Linked DNA regions of Nothobranchius furzeri. The protein of the gene in region 2 purifies or fractionates together with the protein of the main gene of each other region. This does not show direct contact. Links are inferred from orthologs where the notes say so. Each region holds a gene or a part of one and is shown on either strand. Other genes may lie near its edges. The genes, in order: haus2 and haus5.

Region 1 (17,584 bases), on a different chromosome or scaffold from region 2:
AACCCAATAACTAAATTAAGACCAAAATCCAAAAGCTCACCTTCTGAGCAGAGACCTTAAGACTGGAGACAAAACAACGCTGACCAAGAGAATGAACCAACAACCAGAGAGACAAGACAAGGCTTATAAACACAGAGGGAGGTAATTAGGAAAAATGGCAGCAGGTGTGTGGAGTGAGGGCTGGAGGGAAGACAGGTGAATATAATTATCTAAATGGGAAAACAGAAACAGAGGAGGGCAAATAAACCTAAACCTAAAGACAGAGGGAAGGGCTCACACACACACACACACACACACACACACACACACACACACACACACACACACACACACACACACACATATACTGAGCTGGGGAACAAGAGGCTGGAGCTACAACTGGAGGGGGCTGAGGATGACTAAATGAACACCAAACCTGAGGGAGTGATATGAAGGCCTACAAACAGAAGACACATAAATGAGATGCAGACAAAGGACACATGAGGGCGCTATGAGACACAGAAGGGAATCTAAAGAGGGAGACACATGAAGGAAGACGCAGACCATGACAGTAGAGGATTCTGAAGACGTCTGGATATTCGTGGTGTTGGTGTCAGGTTTCCTGCTTTTTGGCCTGAGAGGTTATCTGGCTTACCGGAAAATTAATGAGCTGTCGAGGAATATTGGCTCAATCCCTGAGCTCAGAGATGGATTACACCACGCTGTGAATGCACAAACTCATATAATTGTTGAGATGAGTCATAAGCTTGGAACTTTGGCTGAGATTCAGGCTCTGGCACAGAAGGTGGATTCCATCAAGGAGCGAGTTGACGAATCAGCATGGATTGGGATAGATTGACTTACGCCATCATTGGATTTAGAGGGGTTGAGGACCAACGGACAGAGAGGAAATTATCTCTGTCTGGCCCCAAAACAATTTCTTATCTGAATCTGGTGCCCTTGAGCCTGTGAGGCTGAAGCGAATACTCCCCCCTCAGAAGAAATGTGGAATGCTGCCGTCGCCATGGCAACTCAGTCTCCCTATCCCAGCCTAGGCGGGACTGCGACCGAAGGCCGTTGAATCATTCCAGGAGTCACTGTGCTCTCTAAAACCCAACGACCTCCTCCCCCTGTCCAAACGGAGGTGATGAGCGCTGCTTATCGTGGCTGCATGCACTGATGTGTGGACAGTCCCCAACCCTACCGCCCCACCTAGTGGACACTTATGTTGTGTAATGTCTGAAATCTGTTGCATTTCTGTCTGAAGTGTTTTTTGCATAGCAAAGCTGCCCTCCCTGTGGAGGGTAACTCTGAAGTGCCTTTTTTTCCCCTCCACCTGACCCTATCCTCATGTAAACCCCTCTGATCTCTATTAAGGTAGCGTGACTCGGGTTGCGAATGACCACAGTCACCAATTCTTGTCATGTGTTTATGCCTATGTATGTATGTCTGATCTCAGAATTGTGTGTACTGAAACTCTAATTTCCCTCTGGGATTAATAAAGTTTATTGAATTTGAAAGACTATTTATAAATAGGCACAAAAAGAAACGTAATAATTTTTAAATGTGATAAACAGCACACAATCAACAATTTGTTGTTTTCCTTCGACTGCACAGTGTAGTAGTGTAAATCTGAATTAGCTAGTTTTCCACTTTTGTTTTGAAAGCAACTCCAGGCCAAATACCGTAATGCTGCATGTTCTAACGCACATCAAAATCTGTTAAAGCGGTCTTGTCAGCCTGTTGCACAGCTCCTTCCCCTGATAAACTTATAAAATTCAGCATTTTATTAATTTTACTTTGTTTCTTGCATTTGTGTATTGTTGGTCGGATCTTTGCTCAAATATTTAGCACACGTATTCAAACTTTTTAGAAACTTTTCCTCAAAATAACAAAAGGAAAAAACATTGTGCATTAAAGCTGGGGTGAAAGGAAATATGAAATGTACAGATTTTCCTTCCTACCTTCTTAATTTATCATTTATTGCAGGATGTGAACCAGTCTTGTTTTTTATAAACTTTCTTGAACTCTTAAATCAGGATAAATTTATTTCTGCATTCAGCCCTGTGTAGGATCTTGACGTGCTGCAGAACATCACATGTGTGCCATACAAAATTGAACTAGCCTTTTTCCTGTCCTTTTGGACTGAAGAGAATTTCCTGCTTGGAATCTGGGAAAGGATAAATAGGGATCCTCCATAGTGATGGGTTAACTATTTACAACTAAAATCCGTCAAAGCATGTAATTTATGGAAGAGGGGATTTGCATGCCAGAGACCAGGACTTTTCCCCGTTCTGTCATTTCTAAATCTGCAAAATAGAGGGCCATACAAAATTGAACTAGCCTTTTTCCTGTCCTTTTGGACTGAAGAGAATTTCCTGCTTGGAATCTGGGAAAGGATAAATAGGGATCCTCCATAGTGATGGGTTAACTATTTACAACTAAAATCCGTCAAAGCATGTAATTTATGGAAGAGGGGATTTGCATGCCAGAGACCAGGACTTTTCCCCGTTCTGTCATTTCTAAATCTGCAAAATAGAGGTAATCAGAGTTCAGTGTCTCTGAGAAGTTCATGAGTGTTTCTACATGCTGTTTTATAGGTGACCAGCAGAACCCCAAGAAGTAGAAATGATACCACATCAGCAAAACATTACAGAAATGTTCTCAGTCATGAGTGTAGGCTGACAAAAGAAGAGCTCCTCAGGGATGTGTGTTCAGTCCCTCACGCTGATGAAAAAACTAGATCACCAAATTGAACACAAATCAGCCCTTCAGGTTTTTTTTTTTTTTTTTACAGAGATGAGTATTTATAGCAGCAAGAGAACAGTATGTTAGCTAGTATGGAGACAACAGTCCATTCTTTAAAGTGATAGGTCAAGTGGTTTCCTATAGAAAAGATATGAACAATAACCTATATAGCTATTTTTATGACTTTTGTTTGGAGAAAGAGATACCAGTACTGACTGGATTGATGAGCTAATGAATAGCTGTAGAAGGACCAAGACCAAAGTTGGTTCCTTGCTAATTAAAATGTCTCTAATCTTACAGCAGTGAAACCTTTCTTTAACCATACATTTGGACATAAGGAGGTTTCTTGCATAGAACTCTGTTAGCAGTGGAGCTAGCTAACTCTGATCAGACCATTTTTCTTGTGAGTAGAAACAACACGAAGAGGCTGCATCAGAGTACATTTGGTTTACTGGAAGATTTTATGAGAGTTTATTTTGATTGATCCATAAATATTATTCAGCACCGTGATGTTATTAATCCACATTCCATTATTTATCCATGGTTTGTTATCCATACATTTCAGACTCCTTGGACTATTACTCAGTGAACAATAACGGAATTGTATAGCTCCAGTGCTCAAATAAAGGATGTTTAATTTACATCAGTTTATTTAAAAGATGTAAATACTGTTATACCAACCTAAGGATCATGTAGTTATGACTCATCAAAAGTGAACAAGACACTATGGCACCAGGTCTGTAAGTTCCTGGTGTTGAGCTTTACCAGGTTTACTTGAACCCACCAGACCTGGAGCCCAGTGGACCACCTGAACCCAAAACATGTTCAACAATCTCAAATAGAAACAACAAACTGGCTTTCTGACACAAGCTTTATTTAAACGCAGGAGGAAAGATTCAAGACCACAAAAATCCACCAATAAGAAGAGTTCCTTCATTCCACCAGCCAATCTAAAGCTCCAAACACAGAACGAGTCAGACTGGTTAGCAGAAATCTTACTAATATTGCCAGAAAAAAAGTCTTCAGCCATTCCTCAGGTTCAAATCCCAGTTTCAGATTTTAAAGGAGTTTTAATAAATAATAAATCTACAAAAAAATAAAACTATGTGAATAATAAATGTCATGTTTAGTGTGTTAGCAGGAACAGGAACAATCAGTCTGGCATGAAGCTTTAATGTTTCACAATAAAAGGGTTAAAACACCTGGACAGCAGACACAGGTAGGTCCAGGTGAATCGGGTCAGAACCGACTGAAGACATTAAATTCTAAAAAGATCAAATCAATGACATCATTGACAGCAGTGCGTTACAGTTAGAATGCCACGGTTGGTCATGATGATCAAGAACAGCCTGGACAAGCAGAAGCTGGAGGTCAGGTTCCTCAGACTCAACTTGCAGCTCTGAGAAGGTAAAACATTGAAACAGAAGCAATGTTGTGAAAAAGGAAACATCTCCAAACCCGCAGATGTTCCCTTCCTTCATTTGTGAGCATGATGAACTAATGATTAGACGCGTCAGGATCAAGGTCCAGCACCAGCTCTGTGAGGGTGAAAACCCAAGCACCAGAACCGAGTCCCGACACGAACCAGAAGAACTCGGCCTTTCATACAGGAACCCTGATGTGTTTGATGTTAGGACAATAGACTGAGAATGTGAACTCTGAGACCAGCTCCTCTGACGGTTTACTCCTCCTGCCGTTACAGCAATCTCCTGGTTAGGGGTTGGATCGTGGACAAGTTGTGGGTTAAGTTAACAACAATCATCTGAAGCAGAAGAAGAGAATGTTCTGGCTGCAGGCCTCTGAGAGATCCTCATTCTGGATCAGGTTTCTTCTGTAACATCTGGAGGTGGTCCATGACCTCCACCTTACCTGCTGGTGGTAGAAGTTGATGTCCATCGTGAAGAATGAAGCTTTAAAGCTTTACATCTGAAAATAAAATACTTCTACTATTGTAGCAGTTTGTGTGTTAGGACCCATCTGGCAGCAGGGTTAGGTCTTTTTGAGGACCACGTCACCTCCTCAGGTTTGGTTTAGCTCCTGGAGAATAAGCAGCTGTGGGGGGTGCAGGGGCAGCTTGGGCCAAAGCTGAGACGACTCTGTACCTAGTGGAGGTCCAGGTTTTACCATCATCAGAGCTTCAGGCAAACTTCTTCTTAGTGGCTGTGAAGCGCTCCATGTACTGGAGAGAGAACAGAGACCATAAAAGACCATTAGAGAGATCAATAAAGATCATCATACACCATTAGAGACCAGCAGATACCAGTAAAGACCAGTAAAGAGTAGTAGAGACAAGTAGAGACGATTAGAGGCCAAAAGAGACCAGTAGAGACTAGCAGAGACCAGTAGAGACTAGCCAAGACCAGTAGATACTAATAGAGACCAGTGGATACTAGTAGAAACCAGTGGATACAAGTAGAGACCAGTAGAGACTAGCCAAGACCAGTAGATACTAGTAGAGACCTGTAGAGACCAGCCAAGATGAGTAGATACTAATAGAGACCAGTGGATACTAGAAGAAACCACTGGATACAAGTAGAGACCAGTAGAGACTAGCCAAGACCAGTAGATACTAATGGAGACCAGTGGATACTAGTAGAGACCTGTAGAGACTAGCAGAGACCAGCAGAGATTAGAAGAGACCAGTAGAGATGAGAAGAGACCAGTAGATACTAGTATAGACCAGTAGATACGAGAAGAGACCAGTAGAGATGAGAAGAGACCAGTAGAGATTAGAAGAGACCAGTAGAGATGAGAAGAGACCAGTAGATACTAGTATAGACCAGTTGATACGAGAAGAGACCAGTAGAGGAGACCAGTAGAGATGAGAAGAGACCAGTAGAGACTAGAAGAGACCAGTAGAGATGAGAAGAGACCAGTAGATGCTAGTATAGACCAGTAGAAACTAGAAGAGACCAGTAGAGACTAGAGGAGACCACTAAAGACTAGAAGAGTCCAGTAGAGGAGACCAGTAGAGATGAGAAGAGACCAGTAGAGACAAGAAGAGACCAGTAGAGATGAGAAGAGACCAGTAGATGCTAGTATAGACCAGTAGAAACTAGAAGAGACCAGTAGAGACTAGAGGAGACCAGTAGAGACTAGAGGAGACCACTAAAGACTAGAAGAGTCCAGTAGAGGAGACCAGTAGAGATGAGAAGAGACCAGTAGAGACAAGAAGAGACCAGTAGAGATGAGAAGAGACCAGTAGATGCTAGTATAGACCAGTAGAAACTAGAAGAGACCAGTAGAGATGAGAAGAGACCAGTAGATGCTAGTATAGACCAGTAGAAACTAGAAGAGACCAGTAGATGCTAGTATAGACCAGTAGAGACAAGAAGAGACCAGTAGAGATGAGAAGAGACCAGTAGATGCTAGTATAGACCAGTAGAAACTAGAAGAGACCAGTAGAGACTAGAGGAGACCAGTAGAGACTAGAGGAGACCACTAAAGACTAGAAGAGACCAGTAGAGGAGACCAGTAGAGATGAGAAGAGACCAGTAGAGACAAGAAGAGACCAGTAGAGATGAGAAGAGACCAGTAGATGCTAGTATAGACCAGTAGAAACTAGAAGAGACCAGTAGATGCTAGTATAGACCAGTAGAAACTAGAAGAGACCAGTAGAGACTAGAGGAGACCAGTAGAGACTAGAGGAGACCACTAAAGACTAGAAGAGACCAGTAGAGGAGACCAGTAGAGATGAGAAGAGACCAGTAGAGACAAGAAGAGACCAGTAGAAACTAGAAGAGACCCGTAGAGACTAGAGGAGACCAGTAAAGACTAGAAGAGACCAGTAGACCAGCAAGAATCTCAGACGGGGGTCTAACCTTGTCGTATCCCTCCAGGTCTCGAAGCTTCTTGACTTCAAACAGGTTCCCTTCCACGGAGAACAGGGACACCTGGGATTCGGCCAGGATGGACTGGGGGATGGAGGACAACTCAAGACAGTTTTCCTCCAAACGCAGAACCTTTAGACGGGGACAGTGAGAGACTTCTGCTGACACCACTGAGATCTGTACAGGGATGAGAGAACTGGGTTACCTGATTGAGTTTGAGGAAGGTTCCATTTATTAGGAACCTGGTTCCAGCCTGAGTTCTACAAGAGCAGCTCTGAGGAAACGAGTGAATATTTAGGACAATGAGACCTGGTTCTGGTTCAGGTTGATCTCAATGGCCTGCAGCTCAGCAACCTCTGCAGGGACACTCTGAATCTGGTTCTGGGACAGGTCCAGCAAGTCCAGCTGCCTCAGGGATCCCAGTCCTAAGGGGAACTTGGAGATCTGGTTCCCAGCCAGGGACAGGGTCCGCAGGGCTTTGAGCTGGCCAAGAGAGGGGGGCAGCTGTTGAATCTGATTCCCATTCAGACTCAGGGTCTCAAGCTTCTTCAGCTTCCCAATCTCAGCAGGAAGTTCATCTGTGGACAAAAGAACCACCACTTCAAACATCCAAAGTCAGACATTCATCCAGGATCCAAGATTCAGGACTAACGGAGTCTGTTGTTGTTCAGGGTCAAACTCCTGAGCAGCAGGAAGTTCCCGATTGATGCAGGAAGACTTTCGATCTTATTCCCTGACAGATCTACGGTCCTCAGGTTAGCAGTGAGTCTCTGGAGCTCTTCTGGGAACTGAAACCAGACAGAGACACCTAGCAGTAAGACAAGTTCTGGTACCATGAGAGAGAAACATCAAAGCTCCAACGGAACTCCTCTCACCTCCTGGAGACCTTTACCCATTAGCTGAAACACCCCCGTCTTCTGGGAGGTTTCCAGGTGAGACTTCAGCACACTGTTCCCCATCCTGACCTATCCTCCACCAGAACACCTGAGCCTAGTCTAGACCAGAGGGGTGGAGCTCATATCCAGAGAGTCAATCAGCTGACAATCTCTTCTTCCTCAGGGGAGTTAATGAGATCAGCTGGAGAAAATCCTGCTAGAACACAATCCACAAACATTATCAGACCTTCTGTATACATGTATATATATGAGAGAGAGAGAGAGAGAGAGAGAGAGAGAGAGAGAGAGAGAGAGAGAGAGAGAGAGAGAGAGAGAGAGAGGAGAGAGAGATCTGTCAGGCTTTTCTGAAGTGTTTTTCTGTCCATTTTCTATCAGAAGCTATGCAAGAGATGGGTGTAGGAGACTATTTCCTCGTTCAGCGTACATGCTAAACTCAGAGTGCCTAATCATTTTAAAAAAAATAATAAGAAAAAAAAAGGTTTGTCAATGAAGCTGCTCTTTACAGTGTGTGGGAATGGATCAACTTTATGAAACACTACAGGCTCAGCAGTTAGATCACACACACAAAACAGCATTACAAACGTCATACAAAACAAGAGTCATGGACTTCCACCAGCCCCAGAGTGCATTAAACTTCGGTTATGATGATTCGAGACACAAACTGACAATCTGACACCTTCATAACAAATGTGTAAAAGATTTAATTCAGATATTAGTCCAAAGAGCTGACCTCCTACAGGGTTTTGGACTCAATTTAATCTTGTGTTGTCTTTAAGGATGTAGGGTCAGAACGTCCTTAGTTGCTTCTGACCTTCAGTTTTATGTTTAGGTGTAAATAAAACAAGCTCCAGCAAAATAAAAACTCAAGCATGCGTTCTAAAAAAGCTGCACAACATTAGAAACACATGCTGCTGCATATCATGTTGAGAACCTCAGATGTGATCAATGAGGCTGATCCTTGTGTTATTGTGTTGTTAAAAACACTCCACCACGTTCTGCAGCATCTCCACCAGCATCATCTGATCTGGGAGTGGGTGTGTTTATCAGATTCCACCTTAAAGACCACTGATGTAGAGCTGACACAGCAGACTTCAGTTGTTTTTGATGCTGGTGGGTTTGTGATCTTAATGCAGCTTCATTATGGATTCTATCTGAGTTTCAACAGAGAAAGAGTAGGAAACACTGGCCGGATTCAGATGTTTACATAAAATATACAAAATGTTACGAATTTCCATCTAAGGATCGGTGTTCCCACCACACAAGCTACAAAAGTAAATGATTTGAAAAGACAACAAACCAGTGAAATGTGTGATCTTTACAAATGCTGCAAAAATAATAAAGAGAACAACATCAGTGGCCATTCATTCTATTGGGTGACCTATTACTATTTTTAGTTTTACTATTTGCCTTTGATCATTTGACAAATATGGTTGTTGTTTATCTGTTTAGTTGGACCAGATGATCCAGCTTTAGTTGTTTCTCACCTGGAGAAGACTAATAAAGACGTTTCGTGTTTAAAACGTTTCCAGTCAAAGACAAACAAAGTTATGACTGGATCTGAAGGACAGGACAGGATTATGGTTAGGGGCGTAAAGCTAAAGGCTAAAAGCTCACATTAGTATGTTATTTACCAGGAAACGAAAAATCGGAAATAAACAAACTACTTCATGAAGAATAAATAAATATTTTAATGGCCACTGATCAGTCGACAACCAAATCGAAGTCACAGACCCAAACAGCTCTGCAGCATCGGGTTCTGAAAGAGGCGTTAGCATGACATGCTATATCGGTTTGTTGAGTTCTTACCTCCGATCCGAATCTTTAGTTGTGAGTCAATAAATTCTGACTTTATGTGTGAAGAAAAGTTCGACTAAACAAAATAACAAAACAAAATATAATATAAACAAATAAGTAACTTGTCAAAAGTCCTTTGATGAAAGTTGGCATCAGCAGGTCCGATTATGTCCCTGTCCTCCAGCCCTGTAGGAGGCGCCAAAGGCTTAGAAAGAGTCTGGGAGGCGCTAACGCGGAACAGTAAGCGGAAGTGACGATCCTGGCGGGTATCTGATGGTTTTTAGTCGCTCTGAACCGCAAATAACTCATAATTATCGACTGTGAAATGGGAATGGTGTTTAGGATCGACGAGTAACGGATTAACACAAACAGGATCTGGAGTTTACGGACTGTTCGGCTAACGAGTGTAGGTCAGAATTTTGGTTACGGATTTGGATTAATGTTTGTTTAAACATTAATCCAAGCGTTTTGTTTACTGTTGTGGTCTGCAGCCCCATACCAGTGCTAGCTAGATTTATTCTGAAAAACGTGCAGGCCGCCGGAAACGACTAAATATTCAGACAGAAAATTAAACCAGATGAAACCTACTCTGCATTTTCTACGTCAGACTGCATTTTACCGCTGCAGAAGTCTCTTAGGACTTACTCAGGGTTACAGATGGTCTGTTTAATCTGATTATTCAGTTTTATTTTCCAGATGTGGGAGCCATCGCTGTTCTCCGTCACTCCAGCTGCCAGCTTGCTGTCCAGATGTGTCTCAGTAGGAGCTGTGTCTCAGGTCAGGACTCCACAGGCAGCTAATCCAGTCACACCACCCTGAGGGTTTGAAGGAGATGCTGTTCTGAACGCATTTTAGGGAGATGGTCCATGCATCCTGTTCTTGTCTCATATTTGGCTCAACTTGTGTCCTTGTTGCCTCGATCATCACTAGTGACCCAATCTAAGGATAGATAATCGACACCTTTCTAAAAAACAAAATAAACTTTGAGATTTGCAGAAAGAAATATGACACATCTTGCAGATGAGGAGGCTGGCGGCTCAGCCGATGAGATGGTAAAAACATTTACAGACTTGTAGACCCTTCTGATCACACTCACTCAAAAACAACCTGCCCCCACCACCGTCTCTGACCAATACGTTCTTGTGAATGTCTTCAAATTACTAATTGGTGCATTAATTGTCTTGCATACAACAGCACATCCAGTCCTAATCGGACCAACAGCTATTTATTGTCGCGGTGCAGAATCAAGCCGTTGTAAACCGGGCCAGGGGTGCACATGCCGGGTTTCTGGCAGTGGGAATTAGCTGAGTAGTGGGCTGACATTTGTTTGATATGATGAAGATCGTGTGTCATTTCCTGCAAAAAGCTCCTATCTACGTGTTTCTGAATCGGTCAAACACAAACAGAAAATAAACAGACTGCCGGTCTCAGCAGAGTCAGGCCTCTGCCATGTTGCTCCACCGTGGGTCGGGTCACAAAACATTTAGGACCTCCAAATCAACTCCAAACATCTGCTTTTATCACAGTTGCTGTTTTTCAGCAAAGTGAAGAATCAAAACCTGTCCATTATATGGAAAATAGTTGTTTGTCACGTTAATCTTATTATATTTTCACTAGTTAAGCTGATTTTGGTCAGGTCCTGAACCGGTACGACCCAGGTACTGACCTGGGTCCAGTCTGGAGATGATTTTATGCGTGGATGTGTTTTCAGGATGAAATCGACGCTGCCTTCTCCAGCCCAAACCCTGTGTTCTCCACGCGCCTGCAGGAGACAGAAGAGATGATCAGGAACCAGAAACAGCTGGATGAGGTGAGCTACAGATGTTGTCATTCAACAGTCGGAAACAACAGCATACACTGTTTGGTAAGGAGGAGATGGGTTTACCTCCCGTAAAGCTTTTAGTTCTGCTGCCACGTGCAGAACGAACACATCTCTGCAGCCGTTATCCCTGGAATCTGATACTTTTCTCTGAAATAAAACTTCACTTCAGCTCATTTTAAATTGTCATGCAGCTCAGTGGAGGATGAGAAGAGCTATTGAATTAGTTGATGTCAAGACCCGTGCTGCGCAGTGGTGCAGTGGTTAGAGCTATTGCCTTGCAGCGAGAAGGTTCTGGGTTCGCTTCCCGGCCTGGGATCTTTCTGCATGGAGTTTGCATGTTCTCCCTGTGCATGCGTGGGTTCTCTCCGGGTACTCCGGCTTCCTCCCACAGTCCAAAAACATGACTGTTAGGTTAACTGGTCTGTCTAAAATGTCCTTAGGTGTGAGTGAGTGTGTGCATGATTGTTCGTCCTGTGTGTCTCTGTGTTGCCCTGCGATGGACTGGCTCTCTGTCCAGGGTGTACCCCACCTAGTTGCCCATTAACCGCTGGAGATAGGCACCAGCAGCCCCCCCCCCCCCCCCCCGCGACCCTACATGGACAAGCGGGTTCATAAAATGGATGGATGGATGGATGTCAAGACCCAGAGCTTCATGACAGGTCTGGTCCAGGATCAAAGGTTTCCTGTAAAAACCTGACCATTTTTGTTGGTTCTGATTCAGTTGCAGCTGGAGTTGGAGCTGCTGAAGATGGAAGAACGGAGCGCTGATGTCTCTCATGATTTCCATCTTGGTGAGTTTAAACCTCAACTGGCTTTCTCCCATTCTCAGTAGAACAGAATAGACTTAATTAATCCCACCGCAGGGAAATTCACTCGTTGCTGCAGCACATACTTTACACGTGGAGAAAAGGAAGAAAAGAAATTATGTTGTTTTTTCTTTTTGAAGGTAATTAGAATCTGTTTGGTTTATTTAGCAGCGATCTCAACACAAGTCAGTTCTGAATGCAAAAGTAAAAATAGTCAATTCAATCATTCTAAATGTTAAAGTGAAAGAAGACAGCAGATCGCATCAAATTTTGTTTTAGATTTATTCTAGTGACTTGATGGGTAAAACTCCTTGGGGCATTGTTAAACCTTGAGTGAGACACACACACACACATAGTATTTTCTGTCTGTATGGTGGAGAGATAAATGAAATAACAGGAAGGAAGTCAGAAAAGCTGTTTGTGACTTTATTTAACCTTTGAGACATCTATAACAACAACAACAACGCTTTAGTTAAACAACTGATGAGTTTCTGTCCTCCCTGTGGAGACGACCAGAAACATCCATAACCACCTTTACTTTCATTGCTGATAAACATTTGGTTAAAAAAAAGTTATTCCATCAAACATGAAGAAACGAGTGGGCGGTTGTATTTGGGTCAGCAGCTTGTCTGATTCCAGATCAGAAGAACAAGAGGCTGCAGCTGTTCGCTTGTCATCTCCTTGATCTGCTGAGGGAGCAAAGGACTCTGAGACAGAGACTGATGCGACCGCTGGCTCGGACCAACCTGCCTGTCCCGGCCCACATGCAGAGGTCAGAATGGTTCCACAACAGCTTGACCTGAGACCAGTCTCTGAGGCGTTGTTGACATGAAGTTGTCTGGTTTGGGTTACAGTTTTATGGTGAGATCCGTGGAGCTGATGATGGACTTCGTGGCGTGTCTGGAGGAGAAGCTGAGGTCAGCCCAGATCCAGACCACCACCGCCGACAGCCTCACCCTGCTGGTCAGTTACATAAGCAGACTTTTCTCAGATTACCTGAATAACAGGTACATTAAATGTGAGGGCCTTTGTTCTGAATTTGTTGCTGTTCAAAAGGGGTGCCACAGGGCTCAGTATTGAGACCCATCCTAGTTATTTTGTACATCAGTGTCCGGGTTCAAGATGTTTCTGATACTAATATGCACTTCTATGCTGATGATGGTTATTTACATTTTTGGACTATCACTTTCTCAGGTCATAGAAACCCTGCAGAAAACTCACTTCAGTTAAAACTAGTCCTCAGTGGGGACGAGGCTAAGCTAATATTCTTTTCTAACAAGAGCGTTACTCCAGTAGGGACCACTCTTGATAAAGGTGGTTCATGAATACAAGTACCTTGGAACTGATGACTCCCTCACTTTTAAAGCACACGCAGGAAAACTTGTGAAGAAATTTAAACTTAAGTTAGGCTTTTCCTTCCATGATGTTTTTTTTTTGTTTTTATTTTGGAGTAAAAAAAAAGCCTTGACACGGCAACTTTTTTTTCTGTGCCAGATTATCGTGGTCCTTTTTCATGTGAATCGGTGGCGGCTGGTGAATTTATTTTTTGGTAGGGCTCAAATTAACAAGTGGTGTGCCAAAAAGAGCATGCCAGCTGAGATTTGCATGACTTGTTATGGGAAGGTGCATATAAATAATGAGATTTTTTTAATAAATATGTTTATGTTTATGTATTTAGCGGACACATTTTTCCAAAGCGGCTTACAAGTTATAATCGGCATGTTGCCCTTGAGGCTAACAACAACAATAACAACAACAAACAATTTCCAGTCAGTCGTAGGTGGCAGTGAGGCAGCATGATGAATCATGGAGAGGAGGGAACAAGGAGTGGACAGTAGAGAGTTTTTAACATGCTTCTTATCCATTTGCTTCCTTACACAATGATGCTCTATGGGCAGATAAATTAAAAAAATGACAGTTTATTTGAAAAAAATTTTTTTATTTGTCTTTTTGAATCACATTCCTGTTTCTTTAAACCAACTGCAAAATTCAGGCAGGCAGAAAAAATTATATGAAAATACACACTAAACATTAGTCTCTAATGTGTTTAAATAAAACGTGTCAAAAACGTAAATGTTCATTATTACATCATATTTCTAGTCAAAAACAAAATGTTTTCAGGAGACACATTGATTAGAAAAGTGTTAACATTATGAATGTATTAAAAATCGCCTCATCGCTCATAATTCTAATAGTTAAGTCTGAAATTTGTGTTTGGGATGACTGGGCTGCTTTTAGATGTGCTTTCCACATTTCACCACCAGGGAACGCCAAATCACCATTCTTATGTCACACCGACAGTCCAGTATCAGCAAACTTGTTCCAAAAAAACATGCTCAATATTTATCAATATATGCAAATTCAGCAAAGCTAAAAGCATCAGTTCAGTCTTTCCTTTGCTGGTTTAAGGTAATAATCAGAGTTCTAGTAAAAATAATCCACTTTTTTACATGCAGGAGAGAGTTCAAAAGTCTCTGATGCCACATTCCATCATTTTCTGGTTCTTCATAATAACAAAACTCCTTGAGGTGGTCTCAGCTGCTCTACAACAGCACAGGACGGTGAACTGTGGAGAATTTCCAGTTCTGTCCTGACCTGAGCCGAGACTCTTGTCTTCAAATGTTGGACTCAGTTTATGATGCTTCTTTAAAGTGTATCACTGACTAGAGAACGGTGACACGTGACGCATCACTGGGGTTGGTACTCATGAGTGGAATGGTTGTCATTGGCCTCTGGAAGGCAGGGACTACGATGTACAGGTGAAACTTAAATAATTAGAATATGGTGCAAAAGTATATTTGTGTCAGTGTTTAATCTTAGACTGAGAGACCATCTAAAGGCTCAGGAACCCTCTGTGTTCTTGATTCGTCAGCTGCAATTAGAGTGTGCCACTTGGAACATTTTCATAATTTTCTATTTGAGATTTTGAATGTTTTCATAAGCTGTGAGCCGCAATCGTCACTACTCTAAAGGCTTCAAATATCAGACCATCTCATATGTTAGTTTAATGTTTTAAGTGAAATTACTGACATAAATGAACTTTTGCACCATATTCTGGTTGATTTAGTTTCACCTGTATTTATTTACAAGGCTAGGCTTGGGTTACTGCCTCCTTACATGTGCATTTTCATCACACTCCGACTCCTGAAGATCTAGTGATCAGCTGTTGCTCTCTGTCCCTTTTGTCTGCACGGTTTGAGAAGAAACTTTCTCGGGCCATTAAAACCCTGCAGAAAGCTTTTGTTAATATCCAGTATTCACTTCTCATGCACCCCTCTTTGCTTGGAACTATCTGCAGAACGACTGGAAATGTATTGACTTATTCACAAATCTGAAAGACATCCTCAAAACTTTATATTTTTTACAATCTGTGTTAAAGTTTTAATAAAAAATAAAGTCATTTAAAGGCAAAAAGTCACCATTAGTCTGGCAGAAGCAGCTTTAATCACTTGTTTTCATTTAATTAAAAGATAACTTAATGTTTTACATCCGTTCCTGTCCAGGTAAGTTCCAGTTTGAGGTCATTGACTAAATCTTTCTAATGCTGATCCGAGTCCAGTACTGCCACCTGTATAGGAAAGCTTGTGATGCCTTTAATCACTGCAGGTAATTTAGAGCATTCTAAGGGGTTTTGGTGTATTTTAAGTTAACCTTATTTGCATACAGCTGTTTTTGATCTCCTCTCTTCTTAATTGATCTCTCTCTGCATCAGGAAACGTCACACTCCCTTATGTTGACCTTAGCAGCAGACGTGGAGGCTGCGTTTATGCAGATTCTGCAGAAGAGGAAGAGTAGCAGCCAGCAGGAGGCGTCAGAGGCTCATCAGCGCTCCCTTTACACAACTTGCTGTGATGTCACCAAGTTGCACAAATATTAGATTGCACTTTTTTAAGGAATGTAATAAAATGTGTTGTTCATGTGGAGGCTTCCTGATATATATATTTTTTGTTATGCCTTCAGCATTTTGTCTCAAAGGCACCAGGTCCAGGAGGGTAACCCAGACCATCCTCTTCTCAGCATTCATGTATACCTGTAGATTTTATCGGGTTGGTTCTGGGGCAGAATTGGGTCTGAGGTTAGAGGTTTTATAATCTGGAAGAAGAAACCTGATCAAGCTTTTTGGTTTGAGATTATTAGGTTGTTTTTGCTCAACCTGAATTATAATCCAGTGTTTACAGAAATATTAATCTACATGGATCAGTTGAACGGTTGTAAACACTCAGGAACAGGAAGTCTTGAACCCTGTATTAACTGACTAGAAGAACATTTCAGATCTTTTAGTGTTTCTAAGAACAGGAAACAGATTAGTTCTGACTGGACAGATGAGCTGTGGTCTTCTTCCAACGTGTTTCTGCCTTCTTAAAACCACTCTTAGACATTTCAAATGTAATGGGAGATATTTTATAAAAATGTACATAACCATAAAGTAGATGTTACATATTGTTTCACAGAGAATTCTGAGATTATGTTTTCCCTGAATACAGTAAAGGAATGGGACATATTTATGAAATAACTTCTGTGGAGTTCTTGGTGTTAAAATTGTTTTAGGCCTTTTGTAAGTAGCCTGGCCTGCCAAACTCGTCATCTGTTTAATTCTGCACAGAGAAAGAGTCCGGTAACTCGCAGGCAGAGAGCAAAGGCACTTGAGGGCGGGACTAGGCAGCTCAAAAGTGACCAATCAGAAAAAAGATGAAAATGCAGTTTTCTAGCTGTAGTAAAAAATAAAAAAAAGGCATCTGGCAACGGTGTAAACATCTTTTATTTTTTTTTGTAGAAGAAATGCTTTTCGCGCTTCTACTTGTGGTTTTAAAGACATTTGAGTCATTTAGAACAGAGGAAAGAGCCACCGCGAACTCCGCCGCTGTCTTCGTTGTTTATGAGAAACTGAGCGTTGCTGTGTGTGTGTGATGTCCATGACGCTGTAATCAAAAATGGAGTCTGGCGACAGCGCAAACATCTTCCTTTAGAAACAAGGCTTTTCGCGCTTCTACTTGTTTTAAAGACGTGTCCAAGTCATTTAGACCAGAGGAAATAGACGCAGCAAACTCCGCTTCAGTCGCCATGTTCGACAAACTCGGCGTTATGGTGTGTGACGAACGCTACTCGGCTCTGATTGGTTCGGTTACAATTCTCACAGGGTGGGGTTATTTGAATAGAGTTCCCAGACCCTTTCTCTGTGTGTGGAGCAGAGTCAGGTAGCTGCATGTCTGGGACAGAAAATGGGACATGAGAGACTTCTGAAGTGTTGAATAAACTCACAACAAAGAATCACAGATGTTAATATTTCTCACTCTAGATTCTCCGGGTCAAAAGTTCTGAATTACTTATTGAATAAAAATAATTCAAACGGTTTCTAAAAGTACATAAAATGAGCTTTCCAACGAGGTACATGATGTAATTCATGTTACTCCAAAAATCGCTATCAGAAGGAAACCAGCTTTGCAGCGTCACAGAAAGAAACGGAGCGAACCGCGACGGGAGAGCAGAGAACCAAAGGGAGGAGACAGTCTGATCATCTTCATCAGCAGCTTTTATAAAGTTATGCAAATAAAATCCACCTGGTTGGTCAGGTGTCCCAGAAGGCTGTTTCTGTAGATGGTGACATGAGGAGGGACAGATTACTGTCACACTGGTTTTTATTTGAACACTCAACTGTTTACTAAATGATTCAGCTTCATTCCAGCATTATTTATACGTACAATAAATATT
Region 2 (15,984 bases):
GCTGGTGGTGGTCGGAGGGATCGGTGGCGCCTGTGCTCGGCAGCCTCGCCTCTGTCAGTGCGCCCCAGGGCAGCTGTGGCTACATCGTAGCTCATCCCCACCAGTGTATGAATGTGTGTGTGATTGGAAGAATGACACAATGTAGTGTAAAGTGCTTTGGAGTCCTTACTCTGAGAGGTGCTATACAAGTGCAGGTCATTTATCATATACACACACACATATGTAAAGGCCTCAGTGTGCTGTGATGTTAAAGATAACGTTAAGAGAGAAATGAAGTCACATTAAAGCTGCAATAGCAAATTTGGGAAATAAATTAGCTTAAAGGGACCATATCATGGAAAATCCACTTTTGGAACTTTTTACCATGTGATATTGTAATGTCCTCGTGAAAAAAAAATAGCCCAAACCCGTTTTTGGCAGCATTCAAACATTTTATGTTTATGTTTATTTATTTGGAAGATGATTTTATCCAAAGCTATGTACAATTTTTGATCTATGGGGCATGTTGTGATCCTTGGAGGAAACTGGAGTACCTGGAGGAAACCCACGCATGCACGGGGAGAGCATGCAACTCCACGCAGAAAGGCTGCAGCTTTAATGGAAACACATCCCATCATCAGGCCGTGCTCCTCTCCCAGAAGCTAGTCTCTGGTCTGAAACCTGTCTCCCCTGGCCAGCATAAAGATATGTGTGTTTGGCGACTGTTGTCATGCAACTGACTTGGTAGTCCAGTAGTTAGAGCACCATGGCCAATACAGAAACTGACATGGCTATGAGACACTGTTGTAGGCATGTTAGTTGGAGCAGACATGGGTGGAGTTTCACTGAATTTAACTGTTTTATTTCCAGGTATAACTTCTAGCTGACAAAAATAACTCGTATTACAATAAATGACATCTCAGTTGTGCAAACAGTAATTTTTTATCATTTCCTGTTTCTACCTTTGCTCTCAAAGGTTCAAAATAACACAATATGAAACCTGTTCTAATATAGAATAGATATAAATGTATTGTGGAGATATAGAAAAAAAATAAAACAAATAATAAAGTGGTTTTCGCATTTGTCTAAAAAACCATCACCAATAACATGTTTTGGCCCAAACGCAGCTATTGGACCATACGATTGTCGATCTGTGGGTCCTCCGTTCATTAAGCACTCAAGTATTTAGCAACCAAACAGAACTGGTGTGAGAGGTTCGTGGCTCAATAATATCAAAGAAGGAAAAACAGCCGGTTGATAAAACTTAAACTTTAGGACAAACTACCAGAGTCCCAAAAATGTAGTAAGTAAAGTTAATTTATGTAGCAAAATCACACAGTGGTGCACAAAGACATCAAAATTGAAACACAATTAAAAGACAAAAAATGTATATATAATTAAATTAAAGATCATTCAAACAAATGAAGATAAAACAAATAAGAAACAAAAACACAAAATTCCTTTATGTATATATATGCATTTTTTTTAAATCCCATTTTTACTGCCTGCAAAGGCTTTTAACGTTATGATTTTGGCTCATGCATTGGAAAGTTTGGATACTCCTGATATAATGTCCTGTGATAAAACCTCTGGTTTGTAGTGCTATAGCGGGGTTTAGGACTCTGACTCAACATAACCATTGTGGTTAACGCTTACATAGACCCATTTGTATTTCACATGCTCAAATCTGGACAATGTGTAGCTCAGATGGACAAACTATTATTATTTTCAGTGGGAGAAATTGAAGGTGTGGTATGAGTGTGTGTGTAGACAGTAAAATGTGTGTGTCTAAAACACATTTCATGTTTGGACTGAGAAATTCAAATTCAGAGGATTAGTTGACAAATTTTCTTCTGAGGATTAATCAGATTTCTATTATTATGGTTTAATCCATCTGTCGCCGATTTAGTTTAAAAGTCTATCCAAGAAACCACACAGATATGTATCTGTGCTGTGTGGTCATTACCAAGACAAGAGTCATACTGGACAAAAAAGTGTTAAATAAAATTCTGTTTATAGTAGGCAAGTATTCTGTATTTCAGACTCTTAGTCCAATTCACAGAAGTAGAGAAAACATACAGGAAAGATCAAATGAAATAAAATAAGCACAATATGACACAAAGAATCATGAGAAACAGAAGAGACAATAATAAGAGCAGTGTGAATATAAAGTATAAATTATAGTAACTCCCTAATCTACCAGTGTTTCCACATCTTTGACTGGTAGCGTATTGCACTGACAGATATTGGTTAGATCAAAGATCACAAAACAATCATATATTTAGAATTGTTCAGTCAACAAATATATTTATAAACAAAATTTATTTAAAAAAATTATAAACGTTTGTCTTAAAAAAGAAAACTGAGTAATTTGATAAATAACATTTCTTAAGACAGTTTGTAGGGTGCTCACCCTTGCCTCACTAGAAAAATCATTTTCTACTTTTTGCAGTTATAATCATTATTTTCATGATTAAATTCAAGCTGGAGACGTTATTTATTTTATTTTTTCTAGCTGGAGACGTACGGTTATATAAACTGCTCGTGACGTAGCCTGCCTGTTTCCGTCTTTAATTTCCGTCACCGTCTGTATCCATGGCAACGACCAGAAGCGAACAGAGGCGGTGTCGGCGCTATCACAACGGAAATCACACTGGAAGTACTATTGGCAAGCGGGAACTTGAAAGTACAAAAATTTGAAAATCAGGGATGTTGTTATATGTGTCAGTGGTTATTATTACCTGTTTGATTTTAGCGCGTCGAAGTGGAGATGAACGAGGCAGATTTTTACGACCGTAAATCGTAAAACGAAGTAGAAATCTCAGTAAGCTAGCTGACAACACTAGAGCTAACCTTTAGCTGTTTCTCATCAGAATGGCGGATAGAAACCTTGTGAAAGAACTGAAACGCTGGGCTACGGAGGAGTTTAACCTGCCCCCGGACACCCTACCTAATGACAGCTATTTAAAAACGTGGGTAAAGAAAACATCGGAATAAAAATGTTTTTTCGGGTCTGAAGTAACACCGTTCATTTTCCCAGACTCTGTGTTGGAACTGGGAAGTCCATATGGAAGTACATAATCCAACATGTTTTCCATCAAAGGTCAGTGTTAGTTTTCTTGTTCTGTTATAAGGAACTAACTGTTACTAAAGTTATCAGTGCTTTAAATATCGTTGCGTTGTTTTAAGCTCGTGTGATAAATAAATGTGTTTTAAACGTTTTCAACTTCTTGCATTTTTGCAGAAACGTGAAAATCATGCGAGGTAATCTTCAGTGGTATCCTTTTTGGCTTGAATTTTACTAAAAATAAAATCTTGTTTCATTTTGATTTTTTTTCCAATGTTATCTTACAGAATTAAGTTGTCTTTCATAAACAAGCTCACACCTAACAGTCCTTCACCTTATGATCATGGTTATAATCCACATTACATTTGCTCTCATATAAATGTGTACTTAATTTGTGAAATTGCCTTGACTTTATGATCTCAAAGGTACAAAGTAATACAGGACAAAGAGGTAGGGTAACGCATGTTTATTTCTACATATATGGGTCTGTTATAACCACAGATAATTTTCAGTATGTTGGGTGGTGTGTCTGCATGTCAAGCTGGTTCAGACTAAAGGCCAGAGTGAAGCTGCAAAGCGTAAAGAGCTGCAGATGAAGATTGAGCAGCTGAAATGTGAGATTAGTCACCTGGATTCTCAGATCAGTGGAACAGAAGAACAACTCGCCGCACAAGGTTAGTTCATCTCAAGCTGTGTGCTTGTAAGTTCAGATCTAGTTGTTTCTCAAACACAGAATACATTGATTACTAAAAGGCTAAAATTGTTTTACATTATTTTCTGTTCTGTGACCAAATTGTATGCTAAAATAACTTCACTACACAATTCGTTCCATCTTGAAATCTGATGCAAAAATGTTGTTTGTTGCATTGAAATAATTGAAGCAATTTTTTAAGTTTTTTTTTTCTCATGTCAAATTTGTCAACCATCCCTATTACACAGAACAATCTGTTGGTCAAACCTGGGCCCAGATGGAGGACAGCCAAAGCAGAGAGCTGTTTCTGCAGGCCTTCAGACGGCACTGCACCTTGAACCGTAACCTGCTCTCAGATGATGTGCAAAAAATCAGCAGCCACTGCCAAGTGCTGGAGCAGATGGAGCAGTAAGGCAGAAAAATTCACTTAAACATTAAACTGGCCATGAAAGCAGATATTTTAAGCATCTACTACAAGTTACACAGCAAGTGATTGTATATAAATAATTTAAAGAGTGTGCTTATGTTGTAGGAGTGTAGAAACTGAGGTTCTGTTTGACGATGCTCCATCCAGCAGCAGAGCTGATGACGACTTCAACTCCCAGACTGTAGCAGTGGCACAAGTCCTGGTGAGAGCTGCTGAAGTGGTGGTGAATCTAACCACCCTCTCTTGTTAGAGCTCTTATTAGGCTGCCAACATCAATAAAATTAACTTGCTTGTTTAATTTTTTTCTACAATTTAATAATTTTTCAGTAAAATAGAGTACTGAGAATATTTGCATGAAAAATATTTATATTCTCCAACAGCGTGACTTAAAGGAGCTGAGCGAAGACAGGGTCAATTTCTATCAGTCCTTACAAGAGAGCGAACTGAAAACTCAGCCCTCTGCAACAAAAAAGTAAAGATAGTCTATTTTACACTGTTTAAGACATTTTATTAATTTTAATTTATGCATTCTTAACTTTTCTGTTGTTTTCTACACTGTGTCACCCCCTAACAGCATGACTCATGAGCAGAGGATGGCTGTGTTTCAGTACTGGCTGAGTACCGCTGAGGTTGGTTGATTTTATTGAGATCTTGCTGTGAAAGTCATTGTTTTGGTGTTGGATTTTCATATAAATGTTTAATTCTGTTCCTTGTGACATCAGAAAGTGTTGAGCAATTATCCTCCGAGCCACATTCTGTCAGCGCTGCAACATTTGGCTGCAAGAGAGCAGAGGGAACTACAGGAGAGAGTAACAACTCTGGACGTGACAAAAGATGCTGCAGCACTGCAGTATGTAAAACTCCACATCACTGACATTATCTACATGCATGTTGCTTTTTAATCAGATTTCATGAGCTATTTTTTTTTTCAGATTCCGATATGAAAGCAATCACCTTCTGGATATCTCGGCAGAGGAGGGCAATGAGTTACCACCTGTCAAGACCCTCCTAGAGGTGCTACGCCTTCATTTACCCGTTAAAATATCTGATGTTCACATTAAAAGAAAAATATGCATGTTTTTCTTTATTATATGTGAGTGCTACGCTTTTATTTATGTCAATTTTATATATATATAAATATATATATTTGTTGTTTCAGGCTGTTTGGGATGAGGTACAGCAGAGTTTGGTGGAGCTGTCTCAGACTCGTTCCAGAGTCCTGCAGCTCAAAGATCTATTGCAGGACCGTAAGAAGGAGGCTGAGGAAGAGACGTCTGGGATTTTTAATGATGTCCACAATGAAACCATGGCACTGTAAATTTACAAGCACTGCAGCTGTTTAAAGACCAAGTTCACTGAGAAACTGATTTTTACTTGTATTTTTTTTTATATCTGATCGGTCACTCGTAGTTCAACATGCAGGCTAAATGTGAAAAAAGTCTTCTGCCCCTATTAGTTGCCAAAAGAAAATAGATGGAGAAACGCTCTGATTAGAAAATTCAGTCAGACCTTGGCTCACACACGGTAGGAAAGAGCGGAGGGCATCTCTGCTAGTAGAAGCTATTTGTTAGCATTAGCAACTCCACAACATGACTGAACTTCAGGCTTGCAGAGCAAACGGAGTCAGTGGTAGAGTTGCAATGCTGTTAACCAATCATAGGTAAGATGTCCAAATAACAGGAAATAAGAGTGTAAAGCCTGCTCACCTCTGCTCTCACTCACTTCTAGTTTCTGAAACAGGAGTGCCACAGGTTTTTCCCACAGAGATGGACTTACAAGGCATTCATTTATACTAGAGACCACAGCAAATGTGTTGAAAAAGGAAGGAACTTGAATGAAAAAATGCACACACTATGTGTTAACAGGTCAGCATTTGAGGTGGAACTGCAGTGTGTGATGAAGGCAGCAGCTCGGGATCATATCAGAGATCACTGCATCCAACTCGACCAACATGCCAGAAACCGTCAGGAGGCACTCAGAAATCTTTGCAGCCAGTGGCAAAACATTCAGGATTTCAGAGAACTGGTGGTAAGAAGAAACATGGCTTCTGTTCACTTTTGCTGTTAAAAGCTGTAATCCTGAATAAAAGTGCCTGCACATGGTGGATGCAACATTTTTGCATATTTAATGTTCTTTTAAGAATTTGGATGTCTGGGTATGTATAAAAATAAACATGTTTATTTACTAAACTGTGATTTTGTTGGGCAGAACTGTTTAAAAGTAACAAAGAAAACAAACGTGCTGCACCTGTTTCTCTGCAGGCTCTCAGGCAGGAGCAATTAAGAGGGCTTATTAAAGGGAACTCGTCAACCAAGACACAACTGACATGTCTTCATAAAGAGGTCTGAATATAAAAAGCAGAACAAGCACATTTTTGCTGCATTTCTTGTTTCAATACAGTTTTAATCTATTTGTTTTATTTCAGTTGCAAGAGTTCATTGAGATCAAACTCAAGCCACAGTTTGAAGATGTGATCATAGCTGCCAGCTCGCTACGGAACTCCATTTCTAAGGAGGTCATACAGTTTGGGAACGTTTCACTCCTGTCTCTGGACCGCAGGACTGTGGAAGGGTGAGAACCGGTTTCATGAATCTTGACATCTGAAAGACTATTGCAAGTTTGATAAGTCACCAATAAAGCTTAATAACACGAGTTCTTGATCAAATCGCTCCTGATATCTATTAAAGTTGCTGTCCGGAGTTTTCCCCTTTCAGGAATTATGTAGGATTTTTCAGAAATCCTTAAATTGATTGTCTTATGTACTCTGATATAATATAGGAAATGCGTTTTTTTTTTTTTTTTTGCTAAGCCCGCTCCCTGTCTCGTAGAGCTCAATGCAATATGACCTGAGTGCCATTCAGCACTAACCAATAGCGTTAGATTACTGCTTACGTACAGATGTTAATCACAGAGCGTGCTTGAGCATTTAAGGACCTCGGTTGATGCAGAGTTGGCGATCTTTCTTATGGACAAATAAGTCTTTATAATATAAAAATGAAAAGACAACGTAATAACTGTAAAACGGTGTGTTTTGTCGGCTAGAGGAGCGCGTTCATAAACGAGAGGCGTTACTTTTGGCCGTAGATAAGGAAATGAAACAGGGTTTTGGCGTGATACGCCTGTCAGCCACTAATGGTGCCATCCGATAAATGAAGTAATCCGGAAAGCAACTTTAAATGCATTTTACAAAAATCCTTTATAATCTAAAATTAGAATTACACAATAATGTTGCTCGCTTTTCTTTCACAGGTTTGAGTTTTATTATTATTAAAGCGGTACAGCACAACAGTTATCTGAAAATGTTCACGTTAATTCAGTAGCAGACCTGTAACTGAGTTGCACTTAGTCATTTTTTGTTTTCAAGTGGCAACTTCTGAAAAGAAAAAACATCTTTCTTTCAGAATGCAAAGACTTCCAGTGTCCTCGTTGTCCATTTACCGCTTGCAGTCCTCAAGCTTCAGCAACTTGTGTCAGACCCTGAAATTCCCTCGTTACAAGGTGAGGACTGACATTTAAAATGCTTCTGTTTACTATCAAAATGTAGGGATGGGGAATAAAACAATAAAATGTCACTTTATTGTCTTTATGGCAACGTACATTTTAGAGTACAAACTACTCTTCATGCAACTAGAACAATTAACATGACTAAACATGACATAATGGAAGTATACCCACCTAAAAGGGTTTAAAGTGAATATTTATTTTTTATACCTTAACAAAAATGTTATTTTTTTTGTAACTCTGCTGTTTTGCCAGCAGTTTTCTTGACTTTCTTTAAATGTCCTTTTTAAGGCATGTCGATTTCCCTCAGCAGCACTTGAATGTAAAGCTGTGCTTTAAAGACTGTGTTTACTTATTTGTTAATAAAGTTAGTAGTTTGTTAAATGGTTGCTGGCAGATCGACATTTTTGGTTCACGGTCTGCATCCTTAACCTTTACACAGTGGAAGTTATTTTAGGGAAGTCAGCAGGGCTGATGGTACGGGTAGAGTTTTGTGGCTTGTTTGTCTAAAATGCAGAAGTTAATATAAGTCCATTTTTGTCAAAATTTCTTCTGGGTGAACATTTAACCTTGTTTACATTTCAGAATAAAGGGAGTTTTCATTCAGTGGTGAGGAGGCAGATATGTAATTAATACAACTGTCCTTTCTAGTCTGTAAATTAGGCTGTTTGAAATCATAAATGGTACTTTTCTTTAATGTTGTGTTTGTATGATTCTTTTGTTTAATTTAATTTCTGCCAGATATGTTTGTGTTGATACTAAATCTTTAGAAAGCTTGAAAAAAAATCACAATTTTTATTTGATTTTTGCTTTTATTGTGAAGCCCTAATAAGCAGGTTCCACTGTACTGTGTCTTTGGATTAACCGCTACATCACCCATGGAGATACTCGTGGTTACCTGCAGTCTTGCCACTCCGAATGCTCTTTAAGTCAATCGCTAACTGCAAATGTGCTTTTAACATGCTCAGAGTAATGTTCATGAGGCATAATAGCTGCACAACCTGCAGGCTGACTTTTATAATTCCTTGATAAGTACAGTTTTGATTAATCTCACCCCCTACTCTTTCAGGCACCAGAGGAGTTGTGTTCCCAGTTGCGATCCCAACAGCTTGAAATGTGTTTTCTCCACGAGCTACTGAAACTTTACTCCTTCACGCTGCAGAAAGTACAGAAAGAAGCAGAACAGCTGCATGCGCCTGATCAAAAAGGTATCTGAGGGAAGGTCAAAATAGAAAAAGTTCTTGTTTTCTTTAAAAAAGCACCCAGAAGTGTAAATTTTGCTTGTTTGCACACATGTGGTGTTAAAAATAAATGTGCATGCATAAATGTGTAACGGTTTTAGTAAAAAGTTATTTTCTATCTGATTTCTAGCTCTGCTGTCCAGAGTCACTGAGGAGGATCAGAAGCTTCTGAAGGATTTGCTACCAAGAGCCAGAGGCCTCACCCATCACTGTGCACAGGGCCTTTTTTATGGAGCACAAGTCAAAACTGCCATCTCTGACTGGTGAGAGACAATTCTGACAGGAAAATAGTTGTACTTTATTGTTTTCTTTAGAAATTGCAACAAAGTAAAATGTCAACACTGCAGTTTTGTAATGTTGTGATTTCTTACACATATGGCAATAAAACCCTTCTGATTCTGATTAGATGTGTTCTTTAAAAAATACCTGTTAGACAAATTTGCTATGTTGTAAAGCACATTAAGTAGTGTGCTGCTTACCTAAACCTGATCTGGTAGTGAAAATGAAAGTGGTACGTTATCAGCCAGGCTACATTTCAAAGATAACTGTTAAGTTTGTTTTTTCCTATAACTTCTTCCTGCAGCTACTTTCACATATTAGCTGCAGTATGAGGTGTGCATGAAAGGTATGCATACCACAGCATGACACAAAGGATGAGGTGTTTACACAGAAAAAGTAGTTATACAGGTAAAGCTGTCATTAGCAAGCCTAGTCTATTTTACGTTGATGTTGTTATTCTTAAAATTTTCAGGGTTATTTTGTATTTACTGTTTATGTTTTTGTTTGTTTGTGTAGGTGGGACAAACCAGCCCAGCATGCCCTACCTGATGTCGTTAAAGGAGGGCTGACTTTCCAACAGTGGCTTCAGAGGTGGAGAATAGCTACCAAAGCCTGCTAGTTGACACCTCCACATTTCTACACCTCTTGCTTTAGGAACCTTTAAGAAACAGATTACTATACTGTTAGTTAACTAGTGCACATGTGTAAGCTAATGTGTGTGTGTTGTACTCTTGTTGGAACTCGTTTTATCATGTAAAATGCAGTCATCAATAAATTTTACTCATTTGTTTTTGTCTTAGCTTAATTGCCTCGCTCAGTTACCCGCAATTCATTCGTGTAGAACTATTTACTCCTGCACAGAAAACATGCTGGATGTGGTCACGTGGTGTTACAATAAAGCCGTGCATCGATAGCTCGATCATTTTCTGTACGGTTACAGTTCCGAGGGTTTTAGTTGAACCTACAGTGCGCGTGTGTCATTTAGCGCGGAGCTACATTGTTCTTTGTAGCAGTGAAGGGGGAGTGGAGCAATCTGATTCTTGTGAACTCGGCTCCTCCCACTGCTGCGGCTGCGCACTTCAATTTTTCACTCATTTTTTTTCTTCTTATTTTTCACTCCTACTCTGGCTTCCGGACGCCAAGACAGACCACTGCCGCCGAATTTAAAGAGACAGGCGATAGTTCTTTTAAAAAACGTTAAACGACAACCATTGTGTTCGAGCTTATTTCCCTACCGTTCGTGCTTCCGTCTGCTGAGTTCGCTGGTGATGTTCGGTCGCACTCTCGGCGAGTAGCAGCTTGTCAGTCATCACCCTCCACTCTGCCCGGGGTTCCCTGTTCTTTTCGCCTCTGTGTTGAGACTGTCCAGCCAGGCAAAGTAGGGTTGCTCGCTTGCTGGCAGGCAGGCTGGCTTCCCGACCGAGAGAGCAACGTTTGTCGCCTAGCCAACAACTGGAGGTAACATCGAAGCTTCCCTCGTAAGTTGTGGTAGCGGCTCTCGAGCCCCCTGCCGCCGGGATAATGGCGAAGATTCAGGCGCACAGCGCCGCGAAGCAAATAAACCAAATTCAAGACAAGCCTTACGTTATAACACAAAAGCAAGTGCAGCAGCAGCACTTCCAGAAGCTGAAGGTAAGAGGACAACGGACACGACAAGCGAAAAGTCTCAGTCACAACCATTTTGTTCGTCGGCTCATTTCAACGCATTAGATTTCTCCCCGCTCGAGAGTAGTGAAAGAAACGGCTGGCTAGCGATAGTTGGCTTAACTGGACAAATAAAAGTATTTCACACCTGAATTGTTCGACACTGACATGTAAGGTTAGACGTGGAAGCTGTTTTCCATTAATGAGTGTGCGAGTGACAGTCGAGTGACTCGGTTTGTAGTACTTTTCTTTTTTTTTTCATTTGCGCCATCAATGGTAGCTGCTGTGAGCAAACATAAAACGGCAGACCTCGGTTGTGGGAAGTTCCTCCTTGTTGGATTTTTTTCAGTCAGCTTGAACAAAGTGGGGGACATCAGCCAGGCCAACCAACAACGGCTACTTCAGTTGATTAGCAGCTTCATTTTACGTGTCTTTGTTGTCGCAGTGTGTTTTTAACCTGTCGTTTAGCTTTTGCCGATACGACACATTTGGCCGGGGACCAGCTGCGACTAAACGTATTGTGTAAAAATTGTATGCGGGTGGGTGTTAAGAGTGTTGGGGAGTATTCAGTTGACTGGCTGTGTTGGCTAATGTTAGCTACAACAACCCTCTTCAGATGTAGTCTGTTGGTGACAGTGCTTTGTGTGAACAGTTTTTTTTCCTCTCTCTTCGCTGTCTAAACTAGCTCGTTTGGTTTAGAGAGCTCCAGAGCAATCAACCAAAGCTGCAGAGGTTATTTATATTTAAATCTTTATCGTATGTAATTAAGCGAACACGTGCAGCTTGATCTGCAAATTGTTTTTTGATTAAAAAATATATTATTTACCATGATAGTGGATATTTACATTGTATAATTATAAGAGCCACGTTGTAAGTACTGTGGTGTAAGCAGGGAGCTGTCTCATCCAACGTCCGTCAAATTCATCTTCAACCATCAACAAGATGTAATCTGTTTGAGACTAATTATCCTTTTCTCTCTCTTTTTTTCTGTAATCAGGTTGAAGATGCCTTGTCGTATCTGGATCAAGTCAAAATTCGTTTTGCAAATGACCCAGGAATATACAACAAGTTTCTCGACATCATGAAAGAGTTCAAGTCTCAGAGGTATCTGTGATTATGTCTAAGCAGACTAAACGTTTGTATTAGTCACTCTTGATCAAAGCTGTTCAGAGTTGGACAATGTTCTTGATCTCAAACGTTTTCTTTGTTTTGACTAGAGGTCAACCGATATTGGTTTTTCTAATGCCAATGTCAGTGGCTGATGTGTATTGCAGATTTTTTTGGGCTGCTTTTCATGGCCAATATCCAGACATTTTCCACCTTTTCATGCTAGAATTTCACCATCGATTGATGCACAAAGTTCCTGAATCTGTTTTTGAACTCTTAATTTAACTAATTGTTAAATCTTTGTGTATTGCTCAGTGTTAAAGTCAGACACATAAAGTTAATTTGGAGTGTTTATTATGCAGATGTTATTACTGAATGTAAAAATACATTTAAATTTAATTCTGCAACCACACCGGGCTGCCCAAGGATGAGCCTGACTTTAAATCTGCTTTATTTAGGACAAATATCAGATGATGCCAACGTATAAAAAACAGTAAACGTTAATCTACCCCAAGTTTTGACACAGAAATAATGAACACCACTTTTTTGCTGTTCTTTAATCAACAATTCTTAGAGACAGGAATATTGTGACAAACTGACCACCACTGCAAAAAAAAAAAAAAAAAAAAAAAAACGCTAGTATAGTTTAAAACAAAAAGGTGGGAACAGATTTATAGTACAGTAGTAAAATTAAGTCCGTGAGCTCATTACTTGTCTAATTTTTTCCCTACCTTAACCATATTTCGAAATCACCAGTCTGTGCCTCTGTGTGGTGCTGGGTGGCACACACAACAGCTGTTCATAAATGCTATTTGTTTTCAAATTTGCCAGCTGGCATTTATAAACGTCTGCTAGTTTGGAAAATGATGGTCACAAATGCTGACTGCTGTTTCAGATGTCATTTAAGAAAACATTTAGAAGAAAAAATAAATGAACCACAGTGGCAAAAAGGAAACAATCATATTTTTTACTCCTTTGGTTCTTGGTAAAGGTTCAAAATAGGTCAGAAACTCAAACTAATTATCTGTTATATTATTGACAGACATGCGATATGTCATATAAGCAATTTGGTTCCCAGGAGATGCACAAGTGAAAATGACCCAGAGACATGCTTCTTTACATTACCCAACAATATATACCCAAATATTGGCGCAGTGGTTAGCACTGTTGCCTCGCAGCACGAAGGTCGCAGGTTCAAAACTCAGCTGCGGCCTTTCTGCGTGGAGTTGCGTGTTCTCCCCATGCATGCGTGGGTTTCCTCCGGGTACTCCGGTTTCCCCCACAGATCGCAACATGCCCTATAGGTTATAAATTGTAAGTCGCTTTGGATAAAAGCGTCTGCTAAATTAATAAACATAAACATATATTCCACAAAAGCATCATGATAATGTCTAAAGTCTTGCAACATTTGTACAAACTTCTCACAATCAAGCACTTGTGTCTGGGTCACTTTCATTTTAGAAGATTCTTAGTAGATCACATCGTAGATAAAAGCAGACAAACTTCCTCTTTTAAAAATTTTAATATATTTTTAATTAATTCAGACTGGTGAATCGTTGCTGTAAAACGAATGCTGACGTTGCCTTCACAACTCCCTGTTGTTGTCCTGTGAAAAAGGCAAATACTTTGAGCACACTCTTTGAACCACTTGATTACAGTTGTAGGTACGCCTGACTCGAAAGGAAAACCCTTTTATACAAGAATGACCTAATGACCTTGATAGAAGAATTTACTATATGTCGGTTGTGCAAAAGAGCTTTGAAGTGAGTGTTATTGCTTTGAAACTTAATATTTTAGAGCTTGTGTTCTAGATACCATCCTACTGGGTGGACAAGGTTAATTTTTAGTTATTTATCTGTGCTTTACTTTAAACTGTATATTTTTTTTAATAGCATTGACACACCAGGGGTTATAAACCGTGTGTCTCAACTCTTTCATGGACACCCTGACCTGGTCTTGGGCTTCAATGCCTTCCTGCCACCCGGTTATCGGATAGAGGTCCCAAAGAATGGGATGGCCTTCCTTCAGTCTCCGTTCTCCACACAAGTAAGAAAACCCTTTTCCTCTTCATGCTCCTCTTAGATTCAAAAAAGCGATTTTTTTATTTAATCATTTTCATCAGTCCATCAAAACCAATTCCTATCTTGGTGAGAGCTACTTGGTGTCACAGAACTTTTACATTCTTCAAAAGAACCTCTTGTGTTTGCGCCGCTCCAAATTTGATTCCAGTTGTCCGACTCAGGAAATGAGCTGAATTTTTTTTTTTAACAAAACACAGGAGTGAATTTGCCAGTTATGTGTTTAAAAGATATTCACAACTGAAGTTTAAATGTTTGCTGTATTTATTTTGCACAAACAAATATTTCCAAAGTGTGTTCCACTTAGCCGAATATTGCATTTGTGTGTGTTTCTGTTTGACATGATCTTTTGTCCTCTGCAACTTCAGTAGTATATTCATGACGTATTTTTCTGAGATGAAATATAACAGTGATTTAAAATAAAATGCAGTAATAACAAAAACAAATTACATTGAACCTAAAATTCAACGGATTTTTAAAGTTTGTAGGGAAATCACCATCAGTCTCTGGTTAGATGACCCGAGGCTCCAAAATGAGAAGTAGCTTCTGCTTTAGCAACTCCACCCAGACTGTTTTAATTCATGTTATGATGACGATGATGATGATGATGATGACATATACGTGTTGTTTATTTAGTTGAGCTTATTTGATCATCAGCATGAAAAGAAATGGATCACTTTGAATCTTTCTGGCATTATGGGGAGTTAGCATTTTCTATTTTGAAAAACAACCCCAAACCTGGAGCTAGATCCTTTCACTGGATAGTCTCTTTGCCAAGGATGAACACAATGCTGAGAGGCAGAAGGTTACTTGAGAATTAGTCATTTTCATTAAGGATACATTGTTACAGTTTCCATTGAGAGTGACGGAAATGTTTTTGACAAAACTCTTTTTCTATCTTCTGTGTCCATCTATTCAGGTGTCCCCAGGACAGCAGGGCAAGAGCCTGACTCCTTCAGTTGCAGCAACCTCCAGTACTGCTTCTGTTGTCCATGCTGAAGCTGGACCGGCCCAGACCAGTGAAGTCAAGGCAGCCTCATCAGATTCTATATCTTCAACTCCAACTGGACCTCCAGAACCCCCCAGCAGACTTTCTCTTCCCCTGACGAGCAGAGAGAGCCAGAATCAGGCCACCTCCTCATCCGTTTCTCCACCTGCTTCAGAGACGAGTCCTGTTGAGTTTGACAGTGCCATCAGCTACGTAAACAAGATTAAAAACCGTTTCCTCGACCACCCAGAGATTTATAGGTCTTTCCTCGAAATACTTCATACATACCAGGTACTGAAGAAACGATGTGGCAACATTTGATTTTGTAACTATTTGGGGATTATGTAGTTATTCATTGGCATCTTTTGTAATGGCTAATTTCATCTTAGTGGTTTTTACTGTGGTTCTAGTGTTAGTAAAATATATTGAAGCACTTTTATTCCAGGAAAGAATTGGTTTACTATTGCCTGCTTTGTGTTTTATTTACAATCATTTTTAAACAACATAAGTCATAGCTGGAGTCAAAGTTTGACAACAGTGTGTTAATTTCATTGTTTTGATGTTCTTATCTTATACACAGAGTAGCAAAGTTTTCCTTTTTACCTTATTTTGCCGAACAGAAAAACAATGTAACTAGAAAAAAACCCACCAAGGACATAACAAGGAGTGTTCATGTATTTAGGCTAATATTGTGTATGATTACTCAAACCAATACACTTATTTACCTTTATTAGTGAATAAAACCTGAACTTTACGGGCGATGGTGGCACAGGAGTTAAGTGTTCGCCCCGTAATCGGAAGGTTGCAATCTCTTGCTGTTGAGTCCTTGGGCAAGACACTTAACCCACCTTGCCCGCTTGTGTTCGGAGGGACCGGTGGTGCCTGTGTACGGCAGACTCGCCTCTGTCAGTGTGCCCCAGGGCAGCTGTGGCTACAATGTAGCTCATCACCATCAGGGTGTGAATTGGTGAATGACTGACTG

The links.
Region 1: the proteins of haus5 (region 2) and haus2 purify together in Homo sapiens (affinity purification with mass spectrometry; 5 studies listed by BioGRID and IntAct, with this or other methods). This does not show direct contact. The link is inferred for Nothobranchius furzeri from reciprocal best matches to the Homo sapiens genes HAUS5 and HAUS2.

What each region holds. Positions count from the first base shown.
Region 1 is NC_091758.1:16,493,490-16,511,073, reverse strand, and holds haus2 (HAUS augmin-like complex subunit 2), read left to right. Parts: upstream 1-9,501; 5' UTR 9,502-9,653; exon of another isoform or gene 9,654-9,657; intron 9,658-9,943; coding exon 9,944-10,024; intron 10,025-10,958; coding exon 10,959-11,057; intron 11,058-11,790; coding exon 11,791-11,860; intron 11,861-12,499; coding exon 12,500-12,647; intron 12,648-12,729; coding exon 12,730-12,838; intron 12,839-15,378; exon of another isoform or gene 15,379-15,481; intron 15,482-15,587; coding exon 15,588-15,752; 3' UTR 15,753-15,798; downstream 15,799-17,584. Other genes in the region: lrrc57 (leucine-rich repeat-containing protein 57), read right to left, coding at 4,865-4,906, 6,549-6,734, 6,867-7,135, 7,210-7,345, 7,433-7,516.
Region 2 is NC_091748.1:57,504,837-57,520,820, reverse strand, and holds haus5 (HAUS augmin-like complex subunit 5), read left to right. Parts: upstream 1-2,577; 5' UTR 2,578-2,665; intron 2,666-2,852; 5' UTR 2,853-2,853; coding exon 2,854-2,951; intron 2,952-3,019; coding exon 3,020-3,082; intron 3,083-3,223; coding exon 3,224-3,256; intron 3,257-3,471; coding exon 3,472-3,496; intron 3,497-3,587; coding exon 3,588-3,720; intron 3,721-3,985; coding exon 3,986-4,145; intron 4,146-4,269; coding exon 4,270-4,366; intron 4,367-4,544; coding exon 4,545-4,636; intron 4,637-4,738; coding exon 4,739-4,793; intron 4,794-4,886; coding exon 4,887-5,014; intron 5,015-5,096; coding exon 5,097-5,178; intron 5,179-5,323; coding exon 5,324-5,478; intron 5,479-6,029; coding exon 6,030-6,192; intron 6,193-6,425; coding exon 6,426-6,506; intron 6,507-6,589; coding exon 6,590-6,735; intron 6,736-7,565; coding exon 7,566-7,662; intron 7,663-8,734; coding exon 8,735-8,873; intron 8,874-9,036; coding exon 9,037-9,169; intron 9,170-9,701; and 3 more. Other genes in the region: paired amphipathic helix protein Sin3b, read left to right, coding at 10,707-10,817, 11,827-11,933, 13,829-13,982, 14,934-15,293.